4 linked regions of the Lonchura striata genome follow. The protein of the gene in region 1 purifies or fractionates together with the protein of each later gene. This does not show direct contact. Links are inferred from orthologs where the notes say so. Each region holds a gene or a part of one and is shown in the gene's direction. Other genes may lie near its edges.

Region 1 (7,849 bases):
GTGGCTATCTTCATAGCTGCCATTCTTAGCCGTCCAAAGTTAAAATAAAATTGGCCAATATTACTTAAATCTTCTTCAAGAATGACAACCTTATATTTTTATCTTTGGAAGGATGCAAATGCTTTAAATCCCTGTATCTGTAGAAGTTCTACAAGTTTCAGTTTTATTTAGCTACAAAATACACAGAGACAAAAATAAAAAACATATTTAGCAATTATTCCTACCTGGTACTTTCTCTCCTAAGATTGATTCATAAAGACAAACAAACAGGTCAGCACCACATTCTGAGAGATGCTTTATGTGCTGGTTTATGTGACACGCCCTTAAAAGATCATTGGCAACATCAACCCAATCTGTACAGAAGAAAATCATTAATGTCAGAGCTGAAAGACCCAGAAATAAAGATGTGGTTATTTACAGTGAAAATAATCTGTAAGTGTCTTTGACTCCACCAGAGGTGGTCAAACAGGAGGCTGACCAATCCATCCAAAATATTAAACAGTGTTTAAGTGTAATCATAACCCAACTGGACTTGGGAAGTGAAAAACACTGAAGTACCAGAGGCTGGGCAGGTTAATTTTTTTTTCCATGTAATGAAAAACAAATTTGCATCTGGTCTATAGCCAGGACCTCTAAACCTTCAAGACATTAACAAGCCAAGCTTTGATACACCATTTATCAATTATCAGAAATAACAGGTTCTTTTTTTGGAAAACATGAGCTTCTCGGACAAACTCAGGTTCTCTAATAGCCTTAGGCAATGTCATCACTGCTAATGTAACTACTCCTCATAAAAAGTAAATTCTACTTTAATTATTTAAGGATTAGAAGAATACAGAAGTGGTCACACCAAGTTCTCTGCTGAGCACAAGATGTGCATTAACATTGTGATTTTCCTCAAAATTTGAGTCCTAAGATCAAAGTGCTTTGAAACACACATATTTTAACAAGCATTAAGAACTTTAATTTATTGGTGAAGACATAAGTCACCTTTGGAAGAAAAAAGTATAGAATTACTACAACAGAAACAAATTGGTACAGTTTTCAGTCTTCTGTACAGAGGAGTGTTACTTTTCCATCTCTCTACTCCATCAGTTCCAGACATCACCTTAAGTTTCAGATGCACCAAAGGTTAAAGCAGCATCTACATTTCAGGCTGATGTCTTGGAACACTTGAGTTACTGTTCATCTGTAGCTTTATTAAGTTAAAAGTGTAGCCAGGAAAGGAACAAAGAGGGGAAGGGGGAGGTTAATGCAAAGATCTTAAAAAGCTGTAACACAAGAAAACAACAGCTTTATAAATGAATAAGCATGAACTGACTGGGTGAGCTTTAATAAATAATGACTGAATAAAATTGTGCCAGCGATGCGAGCAGCGGCGGGGAGGGGGAGTGATAAGGGAGAAGGAAACTTTCCGGGTCGTCTCTCCCGGCTCTGCGGGTGCCAGGCCGGGCGCTGCTCCGGGAGCGGGGCCCGGGGCCAGGCCCACCGCAGGGCCGGGCGCAGCGAGCGGCGGTCGGAGCCCCCCGGGGCCGGCCCTACCTGCGCCCTCAGCGCTGCCCATGGCGGCACCAACGACCGGGGCCCGGGGCCGCCCCGCCATTTAAACCGCGGCCTGCGCGCCCATTGGGCAGCCGCAGGAAGGGGCGGGGCCGCGCGCCCGGCGCGTCCGGTGCTCTCGGTCGTGGCCGGTGTTACGGGAGCGGGGCGGGCCCAGCGCCTCGGTAACGGGCTTGGGAACAGGCCTGCGCTTGGACTGGGAACGGGGAGCAAAAGAAAGAGCCCGTGCCCCAAGCTAAGCCGCGGCGCCGGTGCCGTGAGGGGCGCCGGTGCGGTCCGCCCGGTTCCGCCACCGGCGCAGGGCCCCGCGGGCCGAGGCCCCGGGCAGCGCGGGCCGGCCCCGGGGCGCTCCGGCCGCCGAGCGCTGCCGGCGGCGTAAAATGGCGGCGGGGAAGGCGGGGGGAGGGGGGCCTGTCCGTCAGGTTCCGCCTCCGTCACCTGAACAGGAGGCGGGTGGCGGCGTTTATCTCGGTAAATGGGGTGGGCAAAGGGCCGGCCTGGGGCGGGGGTGGAGCGGGGGAAGTTGCACCACTTGACCTTGCAGGCGTGCCCGGGACGTTTGCTGGCCTGTATGTCCATTAGCGGGGATTGCTGTTAATTGCCACGGTTTGGCAGTTCGAAGGCATTTCTGCATGAAAGGAGAGCTAAAACGTTTATTAAAAATAAAATGCGTAAATGAAAGTTACTGTACTAGCCGCTAGCATGCAGTTTATTGGACAGGTTGGATGGTGAAAATCTCTTACTTCCCTTTCTGAGCAACAGTATTGCATGCTCCTCAGGAATTCTGGGTTTTCCATGTTGAAAGAAAAAATGGTGCCCTTTATCGTTAAACCCCTCAAGCACGGCAAAGGCAGCTGAGGTCCCAATTTTGACCGTAAGAACAATGACTGGCAGCAATAAAACCTCAGTGCTGTGAGCTCCAGCAGCCCACGGGTGTCATTTGTCGATCCAAATCCAAGTGCACACACCACCTCAGGAACACAAAAGAACTTTTGTTGTGTGTAAGCAAACACAGATCAGTGCTATCGAAACTAAACTAAACACAGATTTTAGTTTGCTGCATACACAGCTCTGCAAAACTGTTGATTTGTTTCCATGTGCTGGCTCTAAGAGAACATGGGAAAACCAAGGATGTTTAACTTAGGAGGGTGGAACAGAAAAATGAGGAAGTTTTTTTACAAAGTAAATTGAAAGGAGTTCCTTGCAGACTTAACTGCGTGTAGACAAGGCAGGGACTGGGTTTTTGTTTAGTCTTTTCAATTCTTTAATACCTTAGAAAGATTAAACAGCACAGTAACAGGAGCCACAGAGTTATACACAAACAAAACCAAATTAAGCTGTGTTAAGATAAATGCACCAGAACAAGAAAAGATAATTCATTTTTACAGCGTTTGCAAAAAATTTTTTTAGACTCACCAGGAACAGGAAGCCTGTAGGGTCAGAAGGTGGAGAGTGTTAGTAGGGGTATTTGGGGTTAAAAATTTTTCATAAGCCATATTAAATAAGTAAGTCTCTACTGAAAAAAACTGGGGGCATTCCTCTACTAGAAATTTGCTGGGGTAGTATTAGCAAAACTGGTCAAGTTGGAGTGCTATTGAAAGAAATAATTAATTACAACAAAAAATTGGTTGAGCAAGGTGGAATTCCAAATTGCTGAGGTTTGAACAGTTTTGGCTATTCATAAACAAAATAACCCTGACTTAGGTGTTACTTTTGAGGACAATATCATGCAGACCTCTAGTCTTAGCAAACCCTGCTCTATTCTTAGCAACAAATTTTAAAAACTGCTATAAAGTAATACACAACAGATCGAAACCACCTTTATACTTTCATTATGTAGATCTGTATGAGGTCCAGATCTTAAATGCTGTGAATTTCTTGTCAATAAAGGCAAAAATAGCAAGGATAATTAGAAGCATGGAATCGCTTTAAAAGGAGGAAAAATTACACTGCAGCTTTGGTTTATTATAAAGGAGGTGACTTAGAAGATATTAATGCCCACAAACAGTATAAATAAACAAAAAGTTATTACTCACCATTTCTACTAACTCATTGTTTTATGCTCCTTATTATTATCCAGCAATATGTTGAAAACGAAAGTAAATGTTTTTCAGGTTGCATACACTAAAACCGTAAAATACATTGTCATGGTATCTTACAAGCTAAGGGCATAAATAGAACCAAATGTGAAGAAATGGCCATCAAATACAGTTATTTTTGTCCCAGAAAAGCCTTAAAGCACAGATTGCTAGAAGGTGGGAGGATATAAATGGGAAGTGTTGTTATAGCACTTCTCCTTCCTTATGTTGTTTTCATTTCTTCCCTCTCTGCCTGGAGCAGGTGGCTTCGGGTGTTTGTGCTTAAAACTTTAAGTCCTGTGTGTGTAAAGCTTCAGGTCGCCTGACACTGGCCTGGCAAAGCCGGTGGGTGAACAGCAATGTCCACTTGGGGTATTGAGTGTTTTTATCCCGTGCCTTCAGAGCAGCTTTTCAGCACCACTGCACCTCACATGACCTTTGACTCAGGTTACTGGCCCTGGTGTGGAATCCAAAAAGATAACACTGGTAATTTTACAGACATATGCTTATAAATATTTCTGTTCATGTATATGTTTATAAACATTTTTTAAAAGGCAATGGGTTAACAGAATAAAAGAACTAGCCTGAGGAGGTTTGATGTTATTTTGCATCCAGCTCCAGGATCTGCACATCTGGGTCCTTCTGAGAGCGAAAGTCACAGGTGGACATAGAGCCAATGTACCGTGAAGTATGAGTTTTTATTAGTTAAAAACCTGGGCTCATCTCAAGTTATTTCAGGAGGATTTTCAGAAACAGATCTGTGAGAACTGGGGGACTGCACTGCGGACATCAGGGTCCGGCTCTGCCCTGCCAACAGTGATGAGGAGCTGAGCTGCGAGCTGCGTTCTGAACACGCTGGGAGGCCGAAAGCCTGCACTTAGGGAGGATGGAAGAGAGCATTCTCCATTTGCATTTCCGGCCCCCTCAGGCCGGGATGCCCTCAGCCAGAACGAGGCTCCCGCCCGCAGCGGCCCCGCGCAGGCGCGGGCAGGGGGTGGGGGCCGCTCCCCGCGGGGAGGGGGCACTTCCGGCCGCGAGCTCAAAACCGCTCGGCCGGGCGAGCCGCGGCCACGCCCACAAAGGGGCGGAGCCTCGGCTCGGCTCGGGCCGCTTGCATAACGGCGGGGGTGGGGCCTGCGCGTGCGTCACGCGCCGGCTCCCAGCAGCCCCCGCTGCGCCCTATATAACCGGCGGCCGCGCGGCCGCGCGCCCACAGTGAGCGGCCCCCGCCAGCGGCGCCGGATCTTGTGCAACCCTTCGCCACCCGCTCTAAGCGACCGGAGTCGCCTCGCCCACCGCCACCATCGCCATGCCCGGGTATTCCAGCGACAGGGATAGAGGGTGAGTCCGGGGGCACGGCTGGCGCCAGCCGCCGCCAGCGTCCGGACTCTGAGCCTACCCGTGGGGCTCTCGGGGTTGTTTTTCAGACGTTTTAAGATGGCGGCGGGGCGGGGGTTCGGCCCTGAGCCCTTCCCTCAGCGCTCCCGCCGCGAGGGTTGGCCGTGGGGGAGGGTATCGGGCTTTTTTAGGCCACCGACTGGAAGATTCCTTCGCCTCAGAGCACCCCTCGCGGGTGTGCTACCGCTGAGAATAGCGTGGGGGAGTTTTAATTTTTTTTTTTTCCTGTTGGGAAGGAAAATACTCGCCCCAACCCCCTTGGGACGCCCCCCGCCCAGCACAGACGGTCCGTGCAGAGCCCGATTCCCCCCGCTGGGAGCGGCGGGCGGGCTGGAGGTTTGTGGGTCAGTGGGTTGGCTGTGCCGAAGCCTTGGGGAGCTCTCGGCAGGGCGGTTCCCTCCCGTCCCTTCCCCCTCCCGAGGCTCGGGCTGTGGCCGGCCGGAGCCGGCCGGCTCCGCTTTGTGTTGTGTAAGCGGATGTTAATGGCCGGCCCCGCCATGCGGTGGCTGAGGGGAATCAAAATGCCGGCTATGCTGCTGCTGCCTTTGTTCCTCCTCCCCCCCGCCCAGCCCGGCTCTAAAATGGCAGCGGCTGGAAAATGTGGCGTAGACAGAAATGAGAGACAAAGGAAACAGCGCTGGCAGGAAGCAGCGGCCGCTCGGGAAGCGCTGTGTTGTGCTGGGAAGGATCGTTCCCAGTGCCCGCCCGGCCAAAATTGGGAAGTGATCGGGCCGGGGGAGGGAGACCTGCGCTCGGATCCAGTGCGCGGCACCGATCTGCGCCTCGGGGCTTTCGAGATCAGCCTCCTCCGAACGGAGGGACGGAACCTGAAACGCTAATAAAGCGCATGTCCTCATAAAACACCGTTGTTAAAAGAAGTCTGTCTTTTGGGACATGCAAAAGAACGGTTTACAGGAAAGTTATCTCAAGGTTTCGTAACTGCTCCTGCTTTCAGTAATAGGACTGTCACTGGGACGGGAAACCATTTTGATCACGGGGTAGTGCCAAGGTTTTAATGCTTGTTGTAACTTGCTGTTCAATTGCATTGTATGGAAATGGGAAAGACGTTGTCTTAGCTTGTGAGTGTGAATTGTGGCCAGGCAGATTGTGGCATCTGCAGCTTAAAGTATGGCTTTTAAAGTTCTAGTGTCCTGAAACTTCGATATGTAGAGTTTCTACATCTAAATTGTAAAGTTAATGGGTGTACTGCAGACATAGTGGTGAAGTTGTTCAGGAGGACCAAAATGTTTTTCATGCATTCTATAATGTGTTCTTTTTGCCTAGGTTTGGAGCCCCTCGTTTTGGAGGAAGTAGAGGTGGACCTCTCTCTGGGAAGAAATTTGGAAACCCTGGGGAGAAACTTACAAAAAAGAAATGGAACTTGGATGAGCTGCCCAAATTTGAGAAGAACTTCTACCAAGAACATCCGGATGTAGTTAGACGTACTGCGGTATGTACCTGACCTGGCTCAAGCCAAAAGTAAACAGAAAGTGCAAACATGTTGAGGGTCATGAGGCCCAGCAGGCACAGATGGGGTAACTTAAAATATAACTGGTATCAGACATTATTTCCAATAATGGGTGTTTCTTTTTGCAGCAAGAAGTTGAACAGTACAGAGCGAGCAAAGAGGTCACAGTTAGGGGCCATAACTGTCCAAAACCAATTATCAACTTTTACGAAGCAAACTTCCCTGGTAAGTGAAGACCAGTTTACTTAACTGTTCTCCAGACTGGATTAGGGCAACATCTGAATCTGTATGTTTAAATTTTCTCTTCAAGCAAATGTTATGGAAGTAATTCAGAGGCAGAACTTCACTGAACCAACTGCTATTCAAGCACAAGGTTGGCCTGTTGCATTGAGTGGATTGGATATGGTTGGAGTGGCACAGACTGGATCAGGGAAAACACTCTCTGTAAGTTTTGATTATAGCCTGAAATACTGCTGGATTTCAGCAGTGACAGTATGGCCTAGCCTAGCACAGGGTGAAAACTTCTAGGAAGAGATTGTAATGAGATTTTTCTTTCTTCCAATCAGTACTTACTGCCTGCCATTGTGCATATAAATCATCAGCCATTCCTGGAGCGAGGAGATGGACCTATTGTGAGTATTCCTAAATTAAAGGGGATTTTAATTTCTAAGGATTTTATTTTACAGTCTCAGTTGGTCCTGCTCATAAGAGTGCATAGCTGCATTCTGCTTCTCTGTGTGAATAAAGTGGTTCCCTGTTGGGCTGATTTCCCTAGCAGATTCTATAATCTCTGATTGGGTTGTCCTCAAAATAGTACAGAACAGGGTTTGATTTTGGGTTATATTTTGGAAGTTGCTATCCCTGGAAGCTACCAGGTAACTTGGTTTGCTGGTTTGGCTGCTTAAATCTACTTCTGTCAATCTGGCATTGAACTTTACACTCAAAATTTTAAGTCTCAGACTAACCTTCCAATGGGTATTGAACTAAAAGATGGGTATCCTGTTTCCAGTGTCTTGTGTTGGCACCAACCCGTGAACTCGCCCAACAAGTGCAGCAGGTAGCTGCAGAGTACAGTAGAGCGTGTCGTTTGAAGTCCACGTGTATTTATGGAGGTGCTCCAAAGGGACCACAAATCCGTGACCTGGAAAGAGGTATGGATCAGCCTTGGTGCATCTGTCTGAGGGAATGGGGAAACTGCTTCAGCTGATGGGACTGCTTGGTTTTAGGTGTGGAAATCTGCATTGCAACACCTGGAAGACTTATAGACTTCTTAGAAGCTGGAAAGACCAATCTCAGGAGGTGTACTTACCTTGTCCTTGATGAAGCTGACAGGATGCTTGACATG
Region 2 (7,885 bases), about 720 kb from region 1:
AGGAGACCAAGGTACGTGGGGCTGCTCTGAGTCCTGCCACCAGCTCTGCAGAGCTGGCACCTGCCCTGCTTCCTGTCTCTCTTTGCCTCAGGGACATTTCCTTTGTAATCATCCGTCTGATTTGAATCAATGGAAGCAAAAGTAATTGTTTCTTTCTAGCAAGAAGGTGCATGTTTACATCATAATAATCAGCTCTTGCATGGTACTCAATTAACTGGGGTCACTGCCACTCACCAGAATTCTTGTTTTGGCTAATAAACAACATCATGTCTCATAGAGATCCTTTCTTACCAGCTTTCCCTTTCATCACTTTTGTTCTTACCTGCATCTTTCCTTACCCAGGACATCAGGCAGGTTGAGGTTCTCCAGTAGGATCAGTGACTCACAGGAGGAGTTGTGATCTTGGTTCAGTGGTCCAGGCAAAAGCATAACAGCACAGAAATTGCATCTGCTGGTGCTGCTGGCACCTGCCAAGTGCTGCCTGTGGTTTGTTTTCAGATAACTGAGAGCTGGGATGCGCTGATAGAGCCAAGACTGATTGTGGAGCCTCCAGTGAACGGATCCAGCGTTGCAAACGGAACATCTAGTGTGTGAAAAGATGTGAACAATTGTACAGATCTGTTCTATGAAGTGCTGTCTTCTGGTTCTGAGGGTGGCAGGTGCACTGATGGATGTTACTGTCTTAAAAGAAGTAGGCCAGAAGAAAAATGTTTTTTTTCCCTTAGGTTATGTTTTTATGTAATACATGAAAACTTTGTTTATTATAGGAAGTCTAATGTAGACCTGTTGGGTTTGAATATTTCTACTGTACCAGGCTGCAGAACTGGAATGGTTTGATTAAAAGATAAAACACAACCCTGTACTGTGAGTAATTGTTTAAATGTCTGGGTTTGGCTAGAGCTGTGTGACTGCCAGAAGTCACTTTCATTTAAAAATTTATTATAAATATTGTTGATGTGCAGAACTGTCCCTCTGCTGTTGCCACAGCATACAGATGCTGTGATGCTGTAGTTACTTAAAGAGTTCACCTAAACATATCCAGAAAAGCATGTGGATTTCAAGGTTTCTGTAATTTTGAGGCAAATAAATAGCACTGGTGACTGTCAACTTTGCTTAGAACCAGTGAAATACAACATGAACCCCTGGCACAATTGTGTCCTGCTGTGTTAATCCATGTAGGCTCTGAAAGCCTTTATTGTTGGTTTTAGAGAAAACCCTCTTGCCCTTTAAGTGATGAAGTTGCTGTGCTGCCTTTCTTCTTCCTGCTTCTTTCCTTTCTTCTTTTTTTCTTCTTTCTACTTCTTTCCAGCAGCACAATGGGTCACCAGGTGCTGGCAAGGCGCTGCACTGACAGCTCTAATAATTATTATTAGCATTGAGGGGGACCTTGTACCTCTGGAGCCTTGGCAAGTCTTACACTTTCAGATAATCCCTGTGCTAGGTAGCTGCCTCCTACAGGAAAGACATGTGAAAAAGCAACCCTAGATACAAAGACCTGAAAATTTGTAGATTATGGTTTAGCTGTCATGTACTCTGACCTAGTGCATGAATCCATTAAAGTTCTGTGCATTTTTGCATCAGCCCTAGTAAAATGCCTTGTTTGTGAAGGAATCGTTTTTATACAAGTAAAATGTATTTGTGTTTTGTGGTTCACTTTAGATACCATTATTTCATGCTAGGATTTGCTTTTTTAGATAACAGTTTGGTTAGATTTGTGTGGCTGTTCTTGCAAACTGAATGAAAAGAGGATGTCAAACAGGAGCACAGTCATGCTCAGACAGTGAGGATTAATGGAAAGATTCTTTTTCTAAGGGAATTGTTACTTGTTAATTCTTAGGAAGTTGCAAAAGCTAAATGCAAATGTTTCACAGTACCTGTTGTTCCATTGCCTCCATTTTTGGCATGATTTTGAGTCCCTCTGGCTGTGCCACACGGGTGATGCTGGAAAATAAATACACCCCTGAGAAGAGAGGGTGTTTTGAAGGTAAAATCTTGAGTTTTATTTACCCACTGTTAGCAAGTCAAATCAGACCAAGGGCAGGCAATCTGAGGGAACTGCCAAGAGCCCTGCCTGTCCCATCCACATCCTGCTCTGAGGAATCTGGGATGGGACAATGTGCACGTGAATCCCACAAGGAGGTGGTGAAACACTGAGCAAACCCTCACTGCTGCCTGTCTGTCCCTGGGGCTCTCCCATCGCTCAGCCCCCTTGCTGGGGGCAGGAATGTGAGGTGCCTTTTATCCCACTGTGCTTCTAAAGCCCTGCTTAAGCTCTGCGGGGTACTTGGAATGTGCAGTGGCTGGGCAAAGGGTTAGTTTCAGTTTGGAATCACAGGAAGTTCTCAAGTATTTGCAAGCAGAAGTGAGTAATAACTTAAATAGCTATTCAAATGCTAGCAATAATTTTTTTATGTTAAAATTTATTGTCTCATAGACAACAGGAGTGGTTGGGCTTTCTCCAAACCAGAATCTCAAGCCATCTTTGACAATGTGGAACTTAAATTGCTCATCTGAACTCTAAACATTCCGTGCCATGCTCCAGAAGCAGAAGCTGCAGTTGTGAGGGTTTATATTTACCTTTTTTATTTGCATACCTTTGTCTATATCAGCTGATTCCATATGAGTGCCACAGAAAATACAGTGAAGGTGCTGAGTGTTTGAAAGATGACAGAGGTTTAGTCCAGATAAGCCCAGGGTGGGCTTATCTGGACTGAGGAACCTGTGGAAAAATAAAAAATGCAAACATTAAGAGCTGCTCTTTTGTCCCATCTCATGCACAGCACAGCTCTCTGAGAGTGTTCCTTTGCCATCCCTCTCAGCCACCCCATCAGGTGTTTACATTTCTTGTAACAGCAGTTACAAAGTCCTGATCAGCACATCCCAACCATGCTGTAAACCTGTGGCACCGTGCGCATTTCCTAGAAACTCCACCCTCGAGCACATGACAGAGCTGATCCTGAACTTTTGCTCCTGTCACAGCCCTGCAGCTCCCAATGCCTCCATTGTCGGTTCTGCGCCTGTATCTGTTACTGGGCAGTGACTCAGAGCCCTGTGACACACAACCCCTCTGCAGCTTATCCTGAAGGAGTGTTAAAAGGCTGGAGGGATAACTGGTGTAGGTACAAGTCCATGTTATCTGTACAACACAGCTTTACAATGATTCTCCAAATTTAATTTAATAGTCCAAAAGAACTGGCTAGGAGCTGATTTCACTTGTAACAGACCACCCAACATTGCTTCTTTTGAGTGCTTTATATTGAGCATGAGCATGAGCCAGCAGTGTGCCCAGATGGCCAAAAAGGCCAATAGCCCCTGGCCTGTATCAGCAACAGTGGCCAGGGAAGTTATTCTCCCCCTGTACTCGGCACTGGTGGGAGCACACCTTGAGTGCTGTGTCCAGTTCTGTCCCCTCAGTTTGGGAAGGACGTTGAGACCTTTGAGCCCATCCAGAGGAGGCAACAGGGCTGGAGAGGGCTGGGAACACAAGCCCTGTGAGGAACGGCTGAGGGAGCTGGGGGTGCTCAGCCTGGAGAAAAGGAGACTCAGGGGTGACCTTATCACTCTGTACAACTCCCTGAAAGGTGGATGTGCTCAGGTGGGGTTGGGCTCTTTCACCAGGCAGCACTGACAGAACCAGAGGATACATCCTTAAGCTGCCCCAAGGCAAGTTTAGGTTAGATGTTAGAAAGAAATTCTTCACTGAAAGAGTGGTTGGGCACTGGAATCGTCTGTCCAGGGAGGTGGTGGAATCATCATCCCTGTAGTTTAAAAAACAGACTGGATGTGGCAGTTAGTGCCATGGTTTAGTTGATAAGGAGGTGTTAGTTTAGGTCATAGGTTGGACTAGATGATCTTAAAAGTCTCTTTCAACCTAGTTCATTCTGTGATTCTGTTTAACTCCTGAACATTCTTGGAAGTCCCCAAGAACTAACGCCAACAAGATGGCCTGCTAATACTTTTAAATTACATTAAAGGGAAGCTCAGCAGTTCTCCACACAAGGTGTTCTTTGCCCACTGGACAAGAGTTGAGAGCACATGGCTCCTTCTGCTGCAGGCCATCAGGTTCTGTTTAAATTATTGGGGGGTCACAGACTTTGTGCCAGGCTGCTCCTTTTATCCCTGCTGCCAGCATGGGTGGAAAAATATAGAGGGTCCCAAGGAAATCCCTGGGACACCAGCAGACAGGGCAGAAGAGGGAGGAGGAAGAGGCCACTGGAACAATTTGTGGTCAAGTTAGTTAAGACAGGAGTACTTGCCATGTTGCTATTCAGCATCAGTGTTCCTGTTAGAAATGGTGATTATTGAACAGTTAGACTAAGAAAAAGAAATCTGAGGAAGCATCTCCTGTTCAGATGGTTTCCACAATCACAAATCAGTAACCTGTGTGCTTTGAAAACGTTGCCCTGACATCACCTGTTGCAAACAGATTATTTTTAAGGTCCTTTCCAACCCAAACCTATGAGTCCGTAGGATTTCCAGCACCCATCTGACCCAAAACTCGGAGCAGCTGGGGCGGTGCTCGGGGCGATTTGGGTTCAGCACTCCCTGAGCCCGGGCGGAGCGCTGCTGTCCCGGGTTGCCCTGAGCCGGAGCGGGCCGGGCAGCGCCCCGAACGCTCCGCTGCGGTTAGAGCCGACCCCGCGGCCCCGGGCACCTCCGGGAACGGTGCCCGGAGCCCCGGCCCGGAGCCCCGGCCCGGCGCTGCCGCGGGGTCCCGTTCCGCGGGGCTGCGCCCCCGGCATCCCGGCGCTGCCCGGCCCCCACATGGGCGGGCGCCCCGGGTTCGTCCCTCGGCTGCCGCCCCTCCCGTCGGGGCGGGGATGACACGCAATTTTCCGGAAAGCCCCGGCCGTAGTTTCGTTTCTCCGAGGCCAGGTTTGCTTCGGGCTCCTGGGGCAGCTGCGGACGGGGCGATGGCGGCGCTGGAGTCGGAGCCGGGCCTGTCGGGGCTGGAGGAGGATCTCACCTGCTCCATCTGCCTCTGCCTCTTCAGCAGCCCCGTGACGGTGCCCTGCGGGCACAACTTCTGCGCCTCCTGCCTGGAGCTCAGCTGGGCCGGCCTCTCGGGGGGCTTCAGCTGCCCGCAGTGCCGGGCCACCTTCGCGGCCCGCCCGCAGCTGCAGAAGAACACGGTGCTGTGCCGGGTGGTGGAGCAGCTCCAGGGCCGCTCCGGGGACAAGAGCGAGGAAGAGGAGGAGAATGAGGGTGGGGATGGGGATGGGGAGGCGGGGGGGTGCTGGGCGGGCGAGCCCCCCGTGTCCTGCGACAGCTGCCAGGAGGCGCCGGCCGTGCAGACCTGCCTGACCTGCACCGCGTCCTTCTGCGCCGAGCACCTGCGGCCGCACCGCGACAGCCCTGCCTTCCGCGACCACCAGCTCTGCCCGCCCCTGCGCGACCTGCAGCTCCGCAAGTGCCCCCAGCACAACAGGCTCTTCGAGTTCTTCTGCAGCAAGCACGGCGTCTGCATCTGCTCCCTCTGCCTGCTCGGGCACAAGCTGTGCCCCACCAGCCCCTTGGAGGAAGCAACAGCCACTGCCCAGGTGAGCGGCCGGGGCTGGCCGGGGCTGGAACATCCTCCCAAGGGCACCCCGGAGCGCCCCTTGCCTCCCTCGGTGCCGGGGGAGCCGCTCTGGAGTGCGGGGAGGAGGCCGGAACAAGACATCGACTGTAAATCTCGGTCTGGCATTGATAAACTGTTATCTGCCTTCCAACATGTGCTCAGGCACGTCCTCAGAGCCATTCCTTCCATTTTCCTCGTCTCTCCAAGATGTTGCTCAAGAGCAGGGGTCTGGGAAGGCGCTGCCAGGGAGCTGGATTGACAGGGCTGGGCTGTCCTAGTCTGGGCTGGGTTTACCAGCGAGGCTCCCATTCTCTGTGGCGTCAGCCAGAGCTCTGAGCCTCCTCTGCTGCTCTGCTCCCTGCCACGGCTTGTCACAGCCTGAGGGGCCGACATTCTGCTGCAGATGTTCTTAAGAAGAAGAATTATAAAGGTATCCTAGGGAGACCTCAAATATGTAGATGAAAGCCAGAAGGAGTAGAAAGGAAGGAAACCTGGACTTTATATTTTCCAGCACAGCTGAAAATCAATGTGGATGAGTGAAGTATGCTGAAAAAGTTTAGATGGTCAAACTCCCATCTGTTCAGTGGGTGTGTACACAGTGTAGCTGCAGAACATAGCCCTGATTGAGCTTAGCAGAATCTTGAACTAAAGGAACAGGTAAATCACATCTAAGAGAACATTCTCAAAAGGAGAGGGGTGAACAGTAGCATCAACTCTGTGCTGGAAGTCTGATGTGAGAGCTAATTTAACATTTATTCTTAGCATGAGAACTGCTGTGCTGATGAAAGCATAGGTCGTTTGTGAAGAGAGTGTCAGCAATGGCAATATGCTCTTGGGAGAGGTGGGGAGGGTGTGGGTGCCACAAGCCATATTTGCAGGATGCTACTTTTGCACCCCCTAAGATTCAAGGAAAGGTAGGTTTTAAGCTGAGAGTACTAAATGCTTACAAGAGTATTCAAAACTGAGAGCAGACATGACAATTGCCTCTCTGAAATACTTTCTGGTCTTTCCTGTTGCAGTCGATGCTGAAGAAAAAACTTGTGGAGCTGCATAACCAGGGTGAAAGAACTGCCCGGGCAATGAGCACGGTGAAAACAAAACAGAACCAAACTGCTGTAAGTGGAGAACTGCTCAGAGTACTGTTGGCTTGCCTGGCACCCGCTGGCCACTGCATGGTGTTGGTGATTTTACCCTTGTGACAAGGGCTGTAGTGCTGAGGCTGCATTGGCAGGAGAAGGTGTTACTGGGAAGCAGCAGAAAAGAGGAGTTTTGGCAGGGCCAGGCAGCTCTGGGGGACATAGGAATAAACCAGGCACTGTGCAATGTCTTATACCCTCACGTGAGGGTGACACTGAGAATGGGCTCCATTCCTTGTGAGTGAAGTTTTCTTTCCAAACCACATAGAAATCGACAGCTCTTCTCTTGCTTGTTTAAAGGAAGAGAAGCCCACATGTTCCTCAGAGGCTTTCATGCAGTAGCACTTAGAGTATTTTGTTTACAAACTGTTGTTTTGAAACCAGTACCTGTCTGCTCTTGTCTACCCCAGGAGACAGCTTCAAGAAAGATGGAATTAATCAGAAATGAGTTTTCAGAAGTTAAAGCTGTAATTGAAGAAAGAGAAAATGAGATCATGAAAGCAATTGCAGAGGAAGAAAAGAGAGTTTGGAATAAGCTTGATTATATTTACAGCGTTCTGGGAAATAAGAAGAATGAGATTCAGTCTCTCAAAGATCAGATTGAGATGGCACTAACTGAAAGTGATGATGTTCTGTTTTTGAAGGTAATGTGTCATTTAAATGTGAATCCAATTCTTCATTCTAGAATGCAGAATGACAAAAACTTCCTGTGGTCATCCTGCTCTCCAGAGACTTGCAGTGAAATGGAAACACAGTGGCGTGCAAGAACCTCCTATCAAAAGATGTCCTGAAAAGTAAACAAGTATCAGTGAAAGAATGTTGAAGGGGTGTTGCTGTTGAGTCAGGGAGGGACGAAAAGACTCCCGTGGTTCAGAAGGCTTAAAGAATGTTTATTAAGTAGCAAGTACTTTTGTAGTCTGACTCACTAGGGTGGAATACGATTGGTGTCAAAGTAAAAACCTTTCACACTATTGGTGCACACTGTGGTAGAATATGTCTATAAAAACAACATGAACAGAAAGAGAGATAATAATTGTTTGAATTCTTTCTCCTAACTTTCCCAGGCTGAAGCCTGAGAGAATTCTCTCTGTTCTCTCTTCGACTGAGCTGAGAGCCTCCACAAAGGGATGTCTGGTAACTCTCCCAGTTCAGCCACTGCCTCTGCCACAAGCAGAGGGGTCACTGGGCA
Region 3 (7,130 bases), on another chromosome or scaffold:
CTCCCAGTAACCCCAGAGCTCCTCCTACCCCGGCTATTCCCAGCCCCCTTCAGCTGCCTCGGCCTCTGGAAGGTGATTAATTAACTAATTAATCCTTAATTAGCACTAATTAATTGTTATTGTTAATTAAAACCCCAAACCAGTAACACAAACCCCACCCCGGTCACTCCCAGTAACTCCAGAGCTCCTCCTACCCCGGCTATTCCCAGCCCCCTTCAGCTGCCTCGGCCTCTGGAAGGTGATTAATTAACTAATTAATCCTTAATTAGCACTAATTAATTGTTATTGTTAATTAAAACCCCAAACCAGTAACACAAACCCCACACCAGTAACTCCAAAGCTCCTCCTGCCCTGGGTATTCCCAGCCCCCTGCGGCTGCCTCGGCCTCTGGAGGGTGATTAATGCACTAATTAATCCTTAATTAGCACTAATTAATTGTTATTGTTAATACCCCAAAGCACTAACACAAACCCCAACCCCTGAAATTCCCGTTTTTTCCCCTCCAAATTCCCACATTTTTCCCCCACGTGCCCACATTTTACCCTCTAATTCATGTCTTCTAAACCCAAAATTCCGATTTCCCTTCCTGGAGATCCCCATTTTTCCCAAAATCCCCCCTTTTCACCCCAAAATCCCCATTTTCCCTTTCCAAACTCCCCTTTTTTGAGCCCCTTTTCCCTCAAAAATCCCATTTCTCCCCCAGAAACCCCCATTTTCTCCCCGCAAACCTCCCATTTTTCCCTTTGCAAACCCCCATTTTTCTCAAAATTCCCCCTTTTCACCCCAAATTTCCCATTTTCCCTTCCAAAACTCCAATATTTTCACCCCAAAATCCCCATTTTCCCTTTCCAAGCTCCCATTTTTCACGCCCCAAATTCCTGTGTTTTCCCCCAAACCTCCCATTTTTCCCCCTCAAAACCCCCATTTTCCCCCTCAAAATCCCCGTTTTTCCCCAAATCCCCTTTTTTCACCCCAAAATTCCCCCTTTTTTCACCCCAAAATCCATATTTTCCCCTTTCCAAACTCCCATTTTTAACACCCCAGATTTCCGCGTCATCCCTCAAAAATCCCATTTCTCCCCCCAAAACCCCCATTTCCCCCCTCAACCCCCATTTCCCCCCTCAACCCCCATTTCTCCCCCTCAACCCCCCGTTTTTTCCCAAAATCCCCTTTTTTCACCCCAAAACTCCAATTTTTTTCACCTCAAAATCCCCATTTTCCCATTTCCAAACTCCCCTTTTAAAAGCCCCTTTTCCCACAAAAATCCCATTTCCCCCCCTCAAACCCCCCATTTTTCCCCCCCGAAACTCCCATTTTTTCCCTCAAACCCCCGTTTTTTCCCAAAATCCCCTTTTTTCACCTCAAAATCCCCATTTTCCCCTTTCCAAACTCCCACTTTTCACACCCCAAATTTCCTCATCTTCCCTCAAACCCCCCATTTCCCCCCTCAAAACCCCCATTCCCCCCTCAAACCCCCCATTTCCCCTTTCAAACCCCCCATTTTTTCCCTCAAAACCCTCATTTTTTCCCAAAATCCCCGTTTCTCACCCCAAAATCCCCATTTTCCCCTTTCCAAAGTCCCATTTTCCTGCCTCTTCCCTCAAACCCCCCATTTCCCTCCTCAAACCTCCCATTTCCCCCCCAAAACCTCCCATTTCCCCCCTCAAACCCCCATTTCCGCCCCCTCAAACCCCCCATTTTTTCCCTCAAAACCCCCATTTTTTCCCAAAATCCCCTTTTTCACCCCAAAATCCCCATTTTCCCTTTCCAAAGTCCCATTTTAAAAGCCCCTTTTCCCACAAAAATCCCATTCCCCCCCTCAAACCCCCATTCCCCCCCCTCAAAACCCCCATATTTCCCCTCAAAACCCCCATTTCCCCCCCTCAAGCCTCCCATTTTTCCCCCCGAAACTCCCATTTTCCCCCCTCAAAATCTCCATTTTTTCCCTCAAAGCCCCATTTTTTCCGAAAATCCCCTTTTTCCACACCAAAATTCCCCCGTTTCTCACCCCAAAATCCCCATTTCCCCTTTCCAAGCTCCCACTTTTCACACCCCAAATTTCCGCCTCTTCCCTCAAACCTCCCATTTTCCCCCCCACAAACCTCCCATTTTTCCCCCCCCAAACCCCCATTTCCCCCTTTCAAACCCCCCATTTTTTCCCTCAAAACCCCCATTTTTTCCCAAAATCCCCTTTTTCACCCCAAAATCCCCATTTTCCCTTTCCAAACTCCCCTTTTAAAAGCCCCTTTTCCCACAAACCTCCCATTTCTCCCCCTCAAACCTCCCATTTCCCCCCCAACCCCCCCATTTTTTCCCCTCAAAACCCCCATTTCTCCCCCCTCAACCCCCATTTTTCCCCAAAATCCCCTTTTTTCACCCCAAAATCCCCATTTTCCCCTTTCCAAAGTCCCATTTTCCTGCCTCTTCCCTCAAACTTCCCATTTCCCTCCCTCAAAACCCCCATTTCCCCCCCCAAACTCCCCATATGTCCCCTCAAAACCCCTATTTCCCCCTGAAACCCCCATTTCTCCCCCTCAACCCCCTGTTTTTTCCCAAAATCCCCTTTTTTCACCCCAAAACTCCAATTTTTTTCACCCCAAAATCCCCATTTTCCCTTTCCAAACTCCCCTTTTAAAAGCCCCTTTTCCCACAAAAATCCCATTTCCCCCCTCAAAACCCCCATTTCCCCCCCAAACCCCCCATTTTTCCCCTCAACCCCCATTTTCCCCCTCAAAACCCCCATTTCTCCCCCCTCAACCCCCATTTTTTTCCCAAAATCCCCGTTTCTCACCCCAAAACCCCCATTTCCCCTTTCCAAGCTCCCACTTTTCACACCCCAAATTTCCACCTCTTCCCTCAAACCTCCCATCTCCCCCCCTCAAACCCCCCATTTCCCCCCTCAAACCCCCCATTTTTTCTCTCAAAACCCCCATTTTTTCCCAAAATCCCCGTTTCTCACCCCAAAATCCCCATTTTCCCCTTTCCAAAGTCCCATTTTTTCACATCTTCCCTCAAACCTCCCATTTCCCCCCCTCAAACCTCCCATTTCCCCCCCCAAACTCCCCATATGTCCCCTCAAAACCCCTATTTCCCCCTCAGCCCCCATTTCTCCCCCTCAACCCCCTGTTTTTTCCCAAAATCCCCTTTTTTCACCCCAAAACTCCAATTTTTTTCACCTCAAAATCCCCATTTTCCCCTTTCCAAACTCCCATTTTTCACACCCCAAATTTCCGCCTCTTCCCTCAAACCTCTCATTTTTCCCCCCCAAACCTCCCATTTCCCCCCCCTCAAACCCCCATTTTTCTCTCTGAAACTCCCATTCCCCCCTCAAACCCCCCATTTTTTCCCTCAAAACCCCCATTTTTTCCCAAAATCCCCTTTTTTCACCCCAAAATCCCCATTTTCCCCTTTCCAAAGTCCCATTTTTCCGCCTCTTCCCTCAAACCCCCATTCCCCCCTCAAACCCCCATCCCCCCCCCAAACCCCCATCCCCCCCCCCCCAAACCCCCCACATTCCCCCTCAAACCCCCATTTTTTCCCAAAATCCCCATTTTTCACCCCATTTCTCCGCAGCTACGGCGGCGGCTCGGGCGGCTCCGGCTACGGGCCGGGCGCGGCGGGCGGCGCCTACGCGCAGCAGCCGCAGCCGCAGCCGCAGCCGCAGCCCAGCGGCGCCTACGGCCAGCAGGGCTACGGCCAGCAGGGCTCCTACAACCCGCCCCCGGGCTACGGGCAGCAGGGACACTACGGAGCCGCCTCCTGTGAGTCGCAGTCCCAAAAAAAACGGGAATTTTGGGGCGAAATACGCGGATTTCGGGAAAAATCGGGAGCGGAAACGGTGAAAAAATGGGTTAAAATGGAGCGATTTGGGGTGGAATTCTGAGGCTTCACGTGGGATCAGGTTTTCTGTATTGCACACTGTTACATTTAGGGATTTTAGTGGAATTCCCAAAAAATTTCCAAAAAAATTGGGAATTTTGGGGCGAAATATGAGGAATTTGGGAAAAATCGGGAGCGGAAACGGCGAAATCCGGAGCGAAATCGGCACAATTGGGGAATTCCAGGGTTTGGGATAGAAACAATGGTCCTACAACTGGTTCCAAATTATATCCAGGGATCTGAGTCATGTTCCCAAAAAAAATCGGGAATTTTGGGGTGAAATCCGCAGATTTTGGGCAAAATGGGCTGAAGTTTGGGAGGATTTGGGGTGGGATCAGGTTCCCAAACCCCCCGAGCGGCGCCTACGGGCAGCAGAGCTACGGGCAGCAGGGCTCCTACAACCCGCCCCCGGGCTACGGGCAGCAGGGACACTACGGAGCCGCCTCCTGTGAGTCGCATTCCCAAAAAAAACGGGAATTTTGGGGCGAAATACGAGGATTTTGGGAAAAATCGGGAGCGGAAACGGCGAAATCCAGAGCGAAATCGGCTGATTTTTGGCTGAAATGGGAGGGATTTGGGGTGGAATTCTGAGGCTTCACGTGGGGTCAGGTTTTCTGCATTCCACACTAAGTTATATTCAGGGATTTTAGTGGAATTCCTAAAAAAAATCGGGAATTTTGGGGTGAAATACGCGGAATTTGGGAAAAATCGGGAGCGAAAACGGCGAAATCCGGAGCGAAATCGGCTGATTTTTGGCTGAGATAGGAGGGATTTTGGGGTGGGAATTGGTTTTTCTCCAACTGGTTCCAAATTATATTTACGGATTTTAATGAAATTCCCAAAAAATTCCCCAAAAAATCGGGAATTTTGGGGTGAAATATGAGGATTTTGGGAAAAATCGGGAGCGAAAATGGCGAAAAAATGGGTTAAAATGGAGCGATTTGGGGTGGAATTCTGAGGGTTCACGTGGGATCAGGTTTTCTGCATTCCACACTAAGTTATATCCAGGGATTTTAGTGAAATTCCCAAAAAAATCAGGAATTTTGGGGTGAAATATGAGGAATTTGGGAAAAATCGGGAGCAAAAACGGCGAAATCCGGAGCGAAATCGGCTGATTTTTGGCTGAGATAGGAGGGATTTTGGGGTGGGAATTGGTTTTTCTCCAACTGGTTCCAAATTATATTTACGGATTTTAATGAAATTCCCAAAAAATTCCCCAAAAAATCGGGAATTTTGGGGTGAAATCCGCAGATTTTGGGCAAAATGGGCTGAAGTTTGGGGGGATTTGGGAGGATTTGGGGTGGGATCAGGTTCCCAAACCCCCCGAGCGGCGGCTACGGCCAGCAGGGACACTACGGAGCCGCCTCCTGTGAGTCGCACTCCCAAAAAAAACGGGAATTTTGGGGCGAAATATGAGGATTTTGGGAAAAATCGGGAGCGAAAACGGCGAAATCCGGAGCGAAATCGGCTGATTTTTGGCTGAGATAGGAGGGATTTGGGGTGGAATTCTGAGGCTTCACGTGGGGTCAGGTTTTCTGCATTCCACACTAAGTTATATTCAGGGATTTTAGTGGAATTCCCAAAAAAATCGGGAATTTTGGGGCGAAATACACGGATTTTGGGAAAAATCGGGAGTGAAAACGGTGAAATCCAAAGCGAAATCGGCTGATTTTTGGCTGAGATAGGAGGGATTTGGGGTGGAATTTTGGGATTTGGGGTGGGAACAGTTTTCCTACAACTGGTTCCAAACAATATTTAGGGATCTGAGTCACATTCCCAAAAAAAATCGGGAATTTTGGGGCGAAATATGCGGATTTTGGGCAAAATCGGGAGCGAAAAGTACGAAATCGGAACTGAAATCGGCACAAATGGGGGAATTCCAGGGTTTGGGATAGAAACAATGGTCCTACAACTGGTTCCAAATTATATCCAGGGATCTGAGTCACGTTCCCAAAAAAAATCGGGAATTTTGGGGCGAAATCCGCAGATTTTGGGCAAAATGGGCTGAAGTTTGGGAGGATTTGGGGTGGGATCAGGTTCCCAAACCCCCCGAGCGGCGGCTACGGCCAGCAGGGACACTACGGAGCCGCCTCCTGTGAGTCGCATTCCCAAAAAAATCGGGAATTTTGGGGCGAAATATGAGGAATTTGGGAAAAATCGGGAGCGAAAACGGCGAAATCCGGAGCGAAATCGGCTGATTTTTGGCTGAGATTTTCGGCGTTTGGGGTGGAATTCTGAGGCTTCACGTAGGATCAGGTTTTCTGCATTCCACACTAAGTTATATTCAGGGATTTTAGTGAAATTCCCAAAAAAATGGGGAATTTTGGGGTGAAATATGCGGATTTTGGGAAAAATCGGGAGCGGAAACGGCGAAATCCGGAGCGAAATCGGCTGATTTTGGGCTGAGATAGGAGGGATTTTGGGGTGGGAATTGGTTTTTCTCCAACTGGTTCCAAATTATATTTACGGATTTTAATGAAATTCCCAAAAAATTCCCCAAAAAATCGGGAATTTTGGGGCGAAATCCGCAGATTTTGGGCAAAATGGGCTGAAGTTTGGGGGGATTTGGGAGGATTTGGGGTGGGATCAGGTTCCCAAACCCCCCGAGCGGCGGCTACGGGCAGCAGGGACACTACGGAGCCGCCTCCTGTGAGTCGCACTCCCAAAAAAAACGGGAATTTTGGGGCGAAATACGCGGATTTTGGGAAAAATCGGGAGCGGAAACGGCGAAATCCGGAGCGAAATCGGCTGATTTTTGGCTGAGATAAGGAGGGATTTGGGGTGGAATTCTGAGGCTTCACGTGGGATCAGGTTTTCTGCATTCCACACTAAGTTATATCAAGAGATTTTAGTGGAATTCCCAAAAAATTTCCAAAAGAATTGGGAATTTTGGGGTGAAATATGCGGATTTTGGGAAAAATTGGGAGTGAAAACGGCGAAATCCGGACCAAAATTGGCTGATTTTTGGCTGAAATAGGAGGGATTTTGGGGTGGAATTCTGAGATTTTAGATGGGATCAGTTTTTCTGCATTCCACACTAAGTTATATTCAGGGATTTTAGTGGAATTCCTAAAAAAAATCGGGAATTTTGGGGCGAAATATGAGGATTTTGGGAAAAATCGGGAGCGGAAACGGTGAAAAAATCGGTTAAAATGGAGCGATTTGGGGTGGAATTCTGAGGCTTCACATAGGATCAGGTTTTCTGTATTGCACACTGTTACATTTAGGGATTTTAGCGGAATTCCCAAAAA
Region 4 (7,379 bases), on another chromosome or scaffold:
CCGTTCATAAGGTTGCATTTCTTTGAGGGAAATTGGTCCATACATACCAGTAAGATATTAATGTAAAACATTTGAAAACATAGCTAATCTCAAAGTGGCTAGTTGCAAAACATAGTCATTAATTTCTTGTTAAAAGTTAACACAAACTCCCTGCTTTTTTTATAATAATGATACAAGAGGCCAATACTTTAAAAGGGTCTCTGATATGCCTTTTTATGATATGCCACTTAATATTCTGATTTCTGTGTATTCATTGCCGTGCATAAGAGATAAATGCTATTACAGATTTAGACTGTACTTACTTTAGATTTTAGACTGTAGTTACATTTCTACATATGTAAACATTTTGTAAAATCTCATCAAATTCACATGGACCAAAATGCAGAATTTCAGACACACTACAAGCTAGGGTCTCTGTAAAAGTACAGGGTTAGGAAAACACCAAGAAACAAAGATCACGCTCCTAAACGCTCTACGGGATGAAATACTACTTGCAGTGCTACCGGCTTTGATTGTAGGGGTAGGTGTAACCAGGACAGGGTTACACCTACCCCTCCATCCTCCTTTCCTCCCTTCCAGCGAGCTCGGGAGCTGGAGCACGAGCAGGCTGAACCTCTGGAGGCTGTGTGACCGATCCGTGGAGCCAGCAGCCCGCGCCACGGAGAGAGCCAGCCCAAAGCTGCACGCAGCTTTGTTGCGCTGCCATTCCGGAGCACAAAGGAAAGCGACGCTGCCATCAGCAAGTCACCAGCTTATCTACAAGAATTACAGATGCAGCTACCGGCGTCTCTGCTCCGGGCTGCCAGTGCTGGGGGCAGCCTTGCTGCGCCTCTCCTGGAAAAAAACGGGTGGGCGAGGGGAAAACTGGCCAACATCTCTCGTTATTCCAGGCCGAGGTAGTTCCCAGACAGGTCTGGCTTGGTCCCCCAAGCCTGACGGGAAGAAATACCATATGATTCTAACTACAAGGAAATCTTGGGATAATAGTGCATAAAGAATATCCTATGCTTTAGAAATAACACCTTCTTTCAGATATTAAAAATATCTAAAAGAAACCACTTAACTGTTAATTTTGCTTTGCAGCAGAATTTTGTTTGCCCCTTCTTTTTCCTGGACTCAAATACCACTCCTTAAAGGGTGAAAGAAGCACATAAGGATCCCCCCATGGAAGCAATCATACCCTGATGCTGTCAAACAATTATTTTTATGTCTAATTGATGCTGGTGATCTAGCACTGACAAATCCTTATTCTACATAGTCATACATGCAATATGAATGTACATGTTACATTCATATGCTGGAAACATAGAAAATGCTCTTCTACAGTGTGTTAGCTATAAAAAAAGGGCAAATGCTTTCAACAGTTCCAGAAGGGTCTAAAACTGATACTTTTTTCTTGAGCCTGATTTTATTTAATTGTCATGTAACATGTGTATATTTCTTCAATGTTAGCCACTTTTCTCAAAAGCACTGTACCATGCTGCCACCAGAATTCACTCCTTTGAGAAAGGCTCCTCAAAATACCAGGTTTTGTAATTATTTCAAAAATTGTTGTGCTATTTTTACCTAAAGATCCAATTGGAATGTCTCTGCATAATACAGATCCTTGTTCAAATAGTTGCTTTTTAATCACAGAAATACAGCAGAAACAGAAAACCATTTGGGTGGTTTATTCTGTGAAAACAGAAAGTCTGTATGGAGCTTGTTGCAACATTAAACTCCTGTGTAGAGAATCAAACTGTTACCAAAATTCTCCAGGAGGTTTGAGGCAGCCTGAACTACGGATCAGGAAATCAGCACCTCATAGAATTTCTTGACAGGAGTTCATTGTTTTAAGAGCCTAGAATGGAGCCTTGGTGTAGAGATTGTTTTGTACAGTGCAAAGAAGAAACAGTAACTCAGTTCAAAACATGTACAGTTTTCTAGTAAGCATCACTTTCAGGTACAGCAGATGAATAATCTTCTGTACAAGAGAGGAAAAGGATGTGATCAGTGCTGAGGTTAGTTCACAGGGTAGGTTCTATAATGCAGATCTTTCCACCTTGTGGCTAAGCGTATCTGCTGCATTAAGTTACCTCACCCTTATCTAGCAATTATTACTTTTCTTGTTGACCAAAACCAGATCTCATGAAGTGCATCTTGAAGGATCAAAATAAATTACAAAACCTAAATTGTGACGAGACTGGGTAGCCATTTTGGTGGTGGCAGCCATCTTGGGGTAGAATAGATTCACAATAGCTGAATTTCCAGAAATGACTAATATTTTTCAAATGTAATATTTTAAAGACAATCTTCCCAATTGTCAGCCACTCCACTAGAATGCGAGGAAGGTTATAGCTATCTACCACAATATGACATGTAACTGTAATAGGAAATAATTTCTGCTGCGTGCTTTTTGCTCGTAACTCATGAAACCCCAGAGATTAAAAAACAAAAACAAAAACAAAAACAAAAATCAAAAAAAGAGATACTATTAGAAACACCTTTTCAAGGCCATGAGGTAAATCAAGAACATCCAGAGTGGGAATGCCCACACTTGAGACCTCACTCCAAGTTTAATACACAATGAAGCCCGGAAATTTTAAGTACTTTCACATAGAAAGAGACTATAAAAACACACAAGTACATTGCCTTTAAGTAGGAGAACACCAAGCCTCACTTGGCACATAAGCCAACTGCATTAATTGGGGGATGAAGGTGCATTTGTGATTTATTTCCCTGCAAGAACTTTTTATCACTTAGGACCTCATTACAGTGGCCACTGGTCATTTTTTGAACTTTGACCCTGTAGAAGCACTAAGGTAGCGCTAGGAAGCACAAGTTAGAGGGAAGCTGATATTTGGTGAGGAAGGATGACGGAAACAACCATGTATCGATTGCTCCAGCGCACATCGGAAGTAGCACTCGATGTGGGACGCATGGGAAAGTGATCTGGTCACAAGGGAGGTGAAGTGTATCATTAGAAAACTTATCTTGGCAATTTTATTTTTCTCTGCTGAAGCAGAGTAAAGGCTGGAGCGACCAGAGAGCAGGACGACGGCAGAGTAAAAAGGTGCACGAACCGTCAAGTTTTAAATACAACCTCGGCAACAAGATTGATGAGCGCGGCTCGTGGATTAGAAACGAGGGAAAACAGCAGCAGCCTTAGAGGCTGGAGACAGCACGTAGCGAGCAACAGGATGCGAGCCTGATGCGGAGAGAGCACTTTGCTGCGGCTGCTGCGATTTATGACATCCCCCCACGACAGGGGGAAGCCGCGCTGGATGCGGAGCAGCGAGGGAGAGGAAGCCGCCGGCGCGATGCGCTGAAGGAGGGCTGGCGGCGGTGAAGTTTGGGCAAGCAAAGGTCAAAGAGGCGGACGCGAAGCAGCAGCGCTGCAAAGTGACTCAGCCGGCCGAGACATCCGCCGGGGAGCGGCGGGGCTGCCCCGCCAGCGTGGGCTGTCCCCAGCCTCCAGGGCTGATACATCCTCGTTTTCCCTACGTGTCACGTCTGTGAGACACGCAAGCCCACGGCATGATCTGGCGATGTGGGCGCGTTTGTGATTTATTTCCTCCGTGAGAGACTTTTCTTAGTCAGAACCCCCTTACAGTGGCCGCTGCTCACTTCTGCCCCTGAAGATGCGCTGAGGTAGCCACAAGGAAGAGGAGAGGTGATATTTGGTAAGGAAGGATGACGGGACTTGTGGAAGCAAGGGTACGGCTCCAGTGTGTCTCGGAAGTAGCACTCGATGCGGGGCGCATCGGAAAGGGATGCGGTCGCAAGGGACGGGCTAAGTACCCGCTAGCAAAACTTATCTTGGCAATTTTATTTTTCCCTGCTGAAGACGGAGGAAGGCCGGAGTGACCTGCCGCGGCTGAGCTCCGGCGCCGGGGGCGCAACAGGCGGAGCGGCGGCGGGACGGAGGGGCCGCTCCGGACATTCCCGCCCCCGGGACCGTTACGGCCGTTACGCCGCTCCCGCTCTCGGACCGATTCAAACTCGGCAGCGGCGCCGAGCGGGAGCGGGAGCGCGGCCCCTCCCGGTGCCCGCCAATCCTCTCGCCCGCCTCCCTCCCCTTTCCCCTCCCTCTGCCCCTTCTCCACGTGAGGCGGCCGCGGAGTTCCGAGCGGCCCCGGCGCGGCGCGGCCCCGGGCCCGGCCCCGCCGCGCGGCGCGGGGGGCGGGGGGCGGCGGGAGCGGGGGGAGCGCGAGCCCCCCGTCCCCCCGCGCGGGCAGCGCGAGAACAAAGAGTTCTCCCCACCCCTCCCTGCCCCCCCCGCACGTGGGGAGCGAGGCCGCGCCCCGCGCCCCGCCCGCCGCCGCGCCCGATTGGCCCGGCGGGGCCCCGGCCGCGGCCGCCCGTCCAATGGAGGCGGCGCTCGGCGCTCGCCAATGAGCGCGATGGCGATTGGGCCGGCGTGTTTGGCGCTCGGTCCGGGAGGGTGAATCCGGCAGCCGGAGGCGGAGGGAGGCAGAGCGGGAGCGCCGAGCGGAGCTGGCGGCGGCACCGGCGGGAGCGGCGGCGGCGCGGAGCCGGGGCGGCGGGGGGGCGGGTGAGTGAGCGGGCGGGCGAGCGACACCTCGCGGGCTCGAGGCGGCGGCGGCGCCGGGAGCGGCTATTTATACCCGGGTCCTTTGTCATGGGGGAGGGGAGGAGAGGAGGGGAGGGGGCGGCAGGGAGGAAGGGGAGGATGGGGGCAGCGGCGGCGGCGGCTCACGGGGAGCAGCCGCGTCCCCTTCCCGCGGGGAGCCGGCGGGCAGACACGCGGGCTCCCGGCCGGTGACAGCTGGAGGGGGGAGACATGGAGTCTGGAGTGCCCTTTGTCTAAGTTGGCTCCGTCCAGCCCGGCCGGCGGCTCCGGTCCCCGCCCGGCGGGGCGCACGCCCGGGCTGGGGGCGAGCTCGCCGTCACTCCTTCGAAGGGCGGGGGCGGCGGGAGGCAGAGCGGGGGGCAGACCCGGCGATTCCCTTCCCCTCCTCTCCGCTCCAGCCGGCGGCACGCGGCGGTGGCCCCGGCGCGGGCAGAGGGAGGTGTGCGTGCGTGTCGAGCCCGAAAGCCGTGCGCCCGAAAGCCGTGTGCCCGCCGTGGGCAGCGCGGCACGCAGCTCGTCCCTCTCTCCCGGGAGCCGGGACAGTCCGCCCGGGCTCCCGGAAGCCGGGGCCGGCCGGGCGGGGAGGCTGAGCGCGCCCGGGCCGCCCGCCCGCGGGACGGCGGGGCTGCGCTGGGGGTCCCGCCTCGGCTTTGGGGCGCTCCGGGCTCAGGGAGAGAGCTCGGGAGGGGCCGGGGGGGAGCTCGGTCTGGCGGCTGCTCCGGCGAACTTCCTAATCGTGGAGATCACCGTGCGATCCCGATCTTCCAGAGCGCCGGGAGAAAGTTCATAAATAGCTGAAAATTCCGGGGTTTTGGGTCTCATATCGCCAAGCACGGCGATACGGAGCACTGTTTAAAGGTAGGGTGTCTGGGGAGGTGTGAAGGAGAGTGCTGGGCTGAGCCGTCCGTGAGCAACAAATGTGTGGTTGGATAAAGAAATCGGTGTGTTGTGGCATCATGCACATGTATTTAACATTACCAGGTCTTCGTGGTGATTCCAAAATTGTTATTCATACACTAAAGAAAAGCAACGCGTGCACAGATGTGCGGCAGGAATGGGACAACAAACTTGTACATTATTCGAGATACTTTCTAACTTACAAAGCACCATACTGATTTTATTTGAGCAAGAGAAAAGTTTTTTAAATTTCTAAAGCTGGAAGTTCAGATTCTTATTCTCTCTGATGAGAAGCACGTAACAGTTTGGAGAAGGTAATTTAATTTTAGCAGGATAGGTTTGTCTTTTCTTAAGTCTAGCAACTCTACTTTCAGCTATTGTGAGTTTGGTTCTTACTAATACAGATTTCAGCAAAGAGTTTTTGCCAGCACGTTTAGTGTGATCTTCACATCTAGGTGGGGATTCTTCTCAAAGATAGGCTAATATTTTTTGGGGGGGGTTGGCACATTCAGATTCTTTATGCAATTTATAAAAATTTAAAGGTAATTCCTTGTTTGTTCCCAGTGTCTATATCAAATTGAGAGTCCTGGGAATGTTTATTTGTGGTAACAATCAAGTATCTGCAGAAGGATGGGTATTACTTGTACATAGTGTACAATAACTAGGCTCACTAGTGATTATTAAAATGTGACTATTTGAAATGTACTAAGTCTTTCAGAAAATGCCCTTTCAGTATTTTAGGAGATGTGACTCAAAAGTTTTCTGTGATGTGTTGAATGATTTTAAGACCTAGTACTTTTACAAAGTACTAAATAAAAACGTCACATTTCTTGTTCTGGAGTTTCCTTTGCAAGAAGCAAAAAGGAAAAATATTTTTTTCCTTCCTCCGCCTCCATGAGAAATTAAAGTAACAATTAAAGCTAAACAACCTGTGCAGAAATCTGTGACAGTATAATGTTCCATGAGATGCCAACTGCTATTCTTGTCTGGAACTTTGGAAGGATTCAAGACTTTAATTTAGGAAAAAAATTGGGAAGAAATTTAGAGTTCTTTCATAGATTTTTTTAATATGTAATTTCACCTTTAAAAGTGGCAGACGCTGAAACTCTGCACCTTCAAAAAGTCATAAAATGTCACCGTTCAGTTTAAAATGAGCTGAAGTGGTGGTGTGTGAGCTTAGACCGGAGACCTGAAATTCAAGCTCAGCGTTCCCCCCCACCCCGCTGTGTTTTTTTCCTTTCTTGCTAAAACTGCCAACAAGCTAAAATATGGTGATTTCTTTGAAGACATGCTTTCAAACTGGTTTTTGTTTGTTCTGTAACATTGCAACCTTCATAAGTGAAATGTAAATATTCCCGTGCTACTTCTTACCTGCAAAGAAACTTTGGCTTAGGGAGAAGGGAATTTTTATAGTGCATTATTGAATGCATGAGCTGTGTTAGATATAGAGAGACTGCAAGCCACTTTCTGTAAAGAAGCTTATGTCAGAATAAGCTACATCTAGAATCTGGTGCAGGCCAACAGTGCTCCCAGGAAAGTTGGTGCACTCTAAAATTCCTCTTGCAATTAATCAAAAGAAGTGCTCTGTCACCATTCACAAAACTGTTCAGTTTCTGTGCCTGTATAGATTATGGATGTGTTTTAGTAAGTTCTCAGCTGTAATGATAAAACTGAGTAACAATTTTAGATGAAGGTTCTATATTCATGTGATTGAACAGTGAGAGTTATTTCTTAAAATGGCTGCAGCACTGACAGAAGGCACATATAATAAATGCCTACTTTACATTGTGTTTGAGCAAAAGTGCTGTGGAAAAACTTTAGTGTTGGCTGTAATCTGGAAGTTCTGTAATTCTACTGTTAGTACTTACAGATGGATCTTAGCTGATTTGAGGAAAAGTATCTGTGAAGT

What was found.
Region 2: the proteins of DDX5 (region 1) and TRIM25 purify together in Homo sapiens (affinity purification with western blotting; 3 studies listed by BioGRID, with this or other methods). This does not show direct contact. The link is inferred for Lonchura striata from reciprocal best matches to the Homo sapiens genes DDX5 and TRIM25.
Region 3: the proteins of DDX5 (region 1) and RNA-binding protein FUS-like purify together in Homo sapiens (affinity purification with mass spectrometry; 5 studies listed by BioGRID and IntAct, with this or other methods). This does not show direct contact. The link is inferred for Lonchura striata from reciprocal best matches to the Homo sapiens genes DDX5 and FUS.
Region 4: the proteins of DDX5 (region 1) and EZH2 purify together in Homo sapiens (affinity purification with mass spectrometry; 4 studies listed by BioGRID, with this or other methods). This does not show direct contact. The link is inferred for Lonchura striata from reciprocal best matches to the Homo sapiens genes DDX5 and EZH2.

What each region holds. Positions count from the first base shown.
Region 1 is NC_134621.1:8,414,445-8,422,293, reverse strand, and holds the start of DDX5 (putative ATP-dependent RNA helicase DDX5), read left to right. Parts: upstream 1-4,839; 5' UTR 4,840-4,947; coding exon 4,948-4,979; intron 4,980-6,320; coding exon 6,321-6,486; intron 6,487-6,632; coding exon 6,633-6,729; intron 6,730-6,814; coding exon 6,815-6,948; intron 6,949-7,070; coding exon 7,071-7,136; intron 7,137-7,513; coding exon 7,514-7,655; intron 7,656-7,730; coding exon 7,731-7,849. Other genes in the region: CEP95 (centrosomal protein of 95 kDa), read right to left, coding at 225-353, 1,543-1,603. UniProt on the Homo sapiens protein: Involved in the alternative regulation of pre-mRNA splicing; its RNA helicase activity is necessary for increasing tau exon 10 inclusion and occurs in a RBM4-dependent manner. Binds to the tau pre-mRNA in the stem-loop region downstream of exon 10.
Region 2 is NC_134621.1:7,694,466-7,702,350, reverse strand, and holds the start of TRIM25 (E3 ubiquitin/ISG15 ligase TRIM25), read left to right. Parts: upstream 1-4,880; 5' UTR 4,881-4,913; coding exon 4,914-5,540; intron 5,541-6,579; coding exon 6,580-6,675; intron 6,676-7,106; coding exon 7,107-7,340; intron 7,341-7,885. Other genes in the region: COIL (coilin), read left to right, coding at 1-11, 499-594.
Region 3 is NC_134637.1:542,513-549,642, reverse strand, and holds the start of RNA-binding protein FUS-like, read left to right. Parts: upstream 1-4,125; coding exon 4,126-4,327; intron 4,328-7,130. Other genes in the region: uncharacterized protein LOC144247894, read left to right, coding at 3,574-3,883. UniProt on the Homo sapiens protein: DNA/RNA-binding protein that plays a role in various cellular processes such as transcription regulation, RNA splicing, RNA transport, DNA repair and damage response. Binds to ssRNA containing the consensus sequence 5'-AGGUAA-3'.
Region 4 is NC_134603.1:107,631,281-107,638,659, reverse strand, and holds the start of EZH2 (histone-lysine N-methyltransferase EZH2), read left to right. Parts: upstream 1-4,374; 5' UTR 4,375-4,534; intron 4,535-7,379. UniProt on the Homo sapiens protein: Polycomb group (PcG) protein. Catalytic subunit of the PRC2/EED-EZH2 complex, which methylates 'Lys-9' (H3K9me) and 'Lys-27' (H3K27me) of histone H3, leading to transcriptional repression of the affected target gene.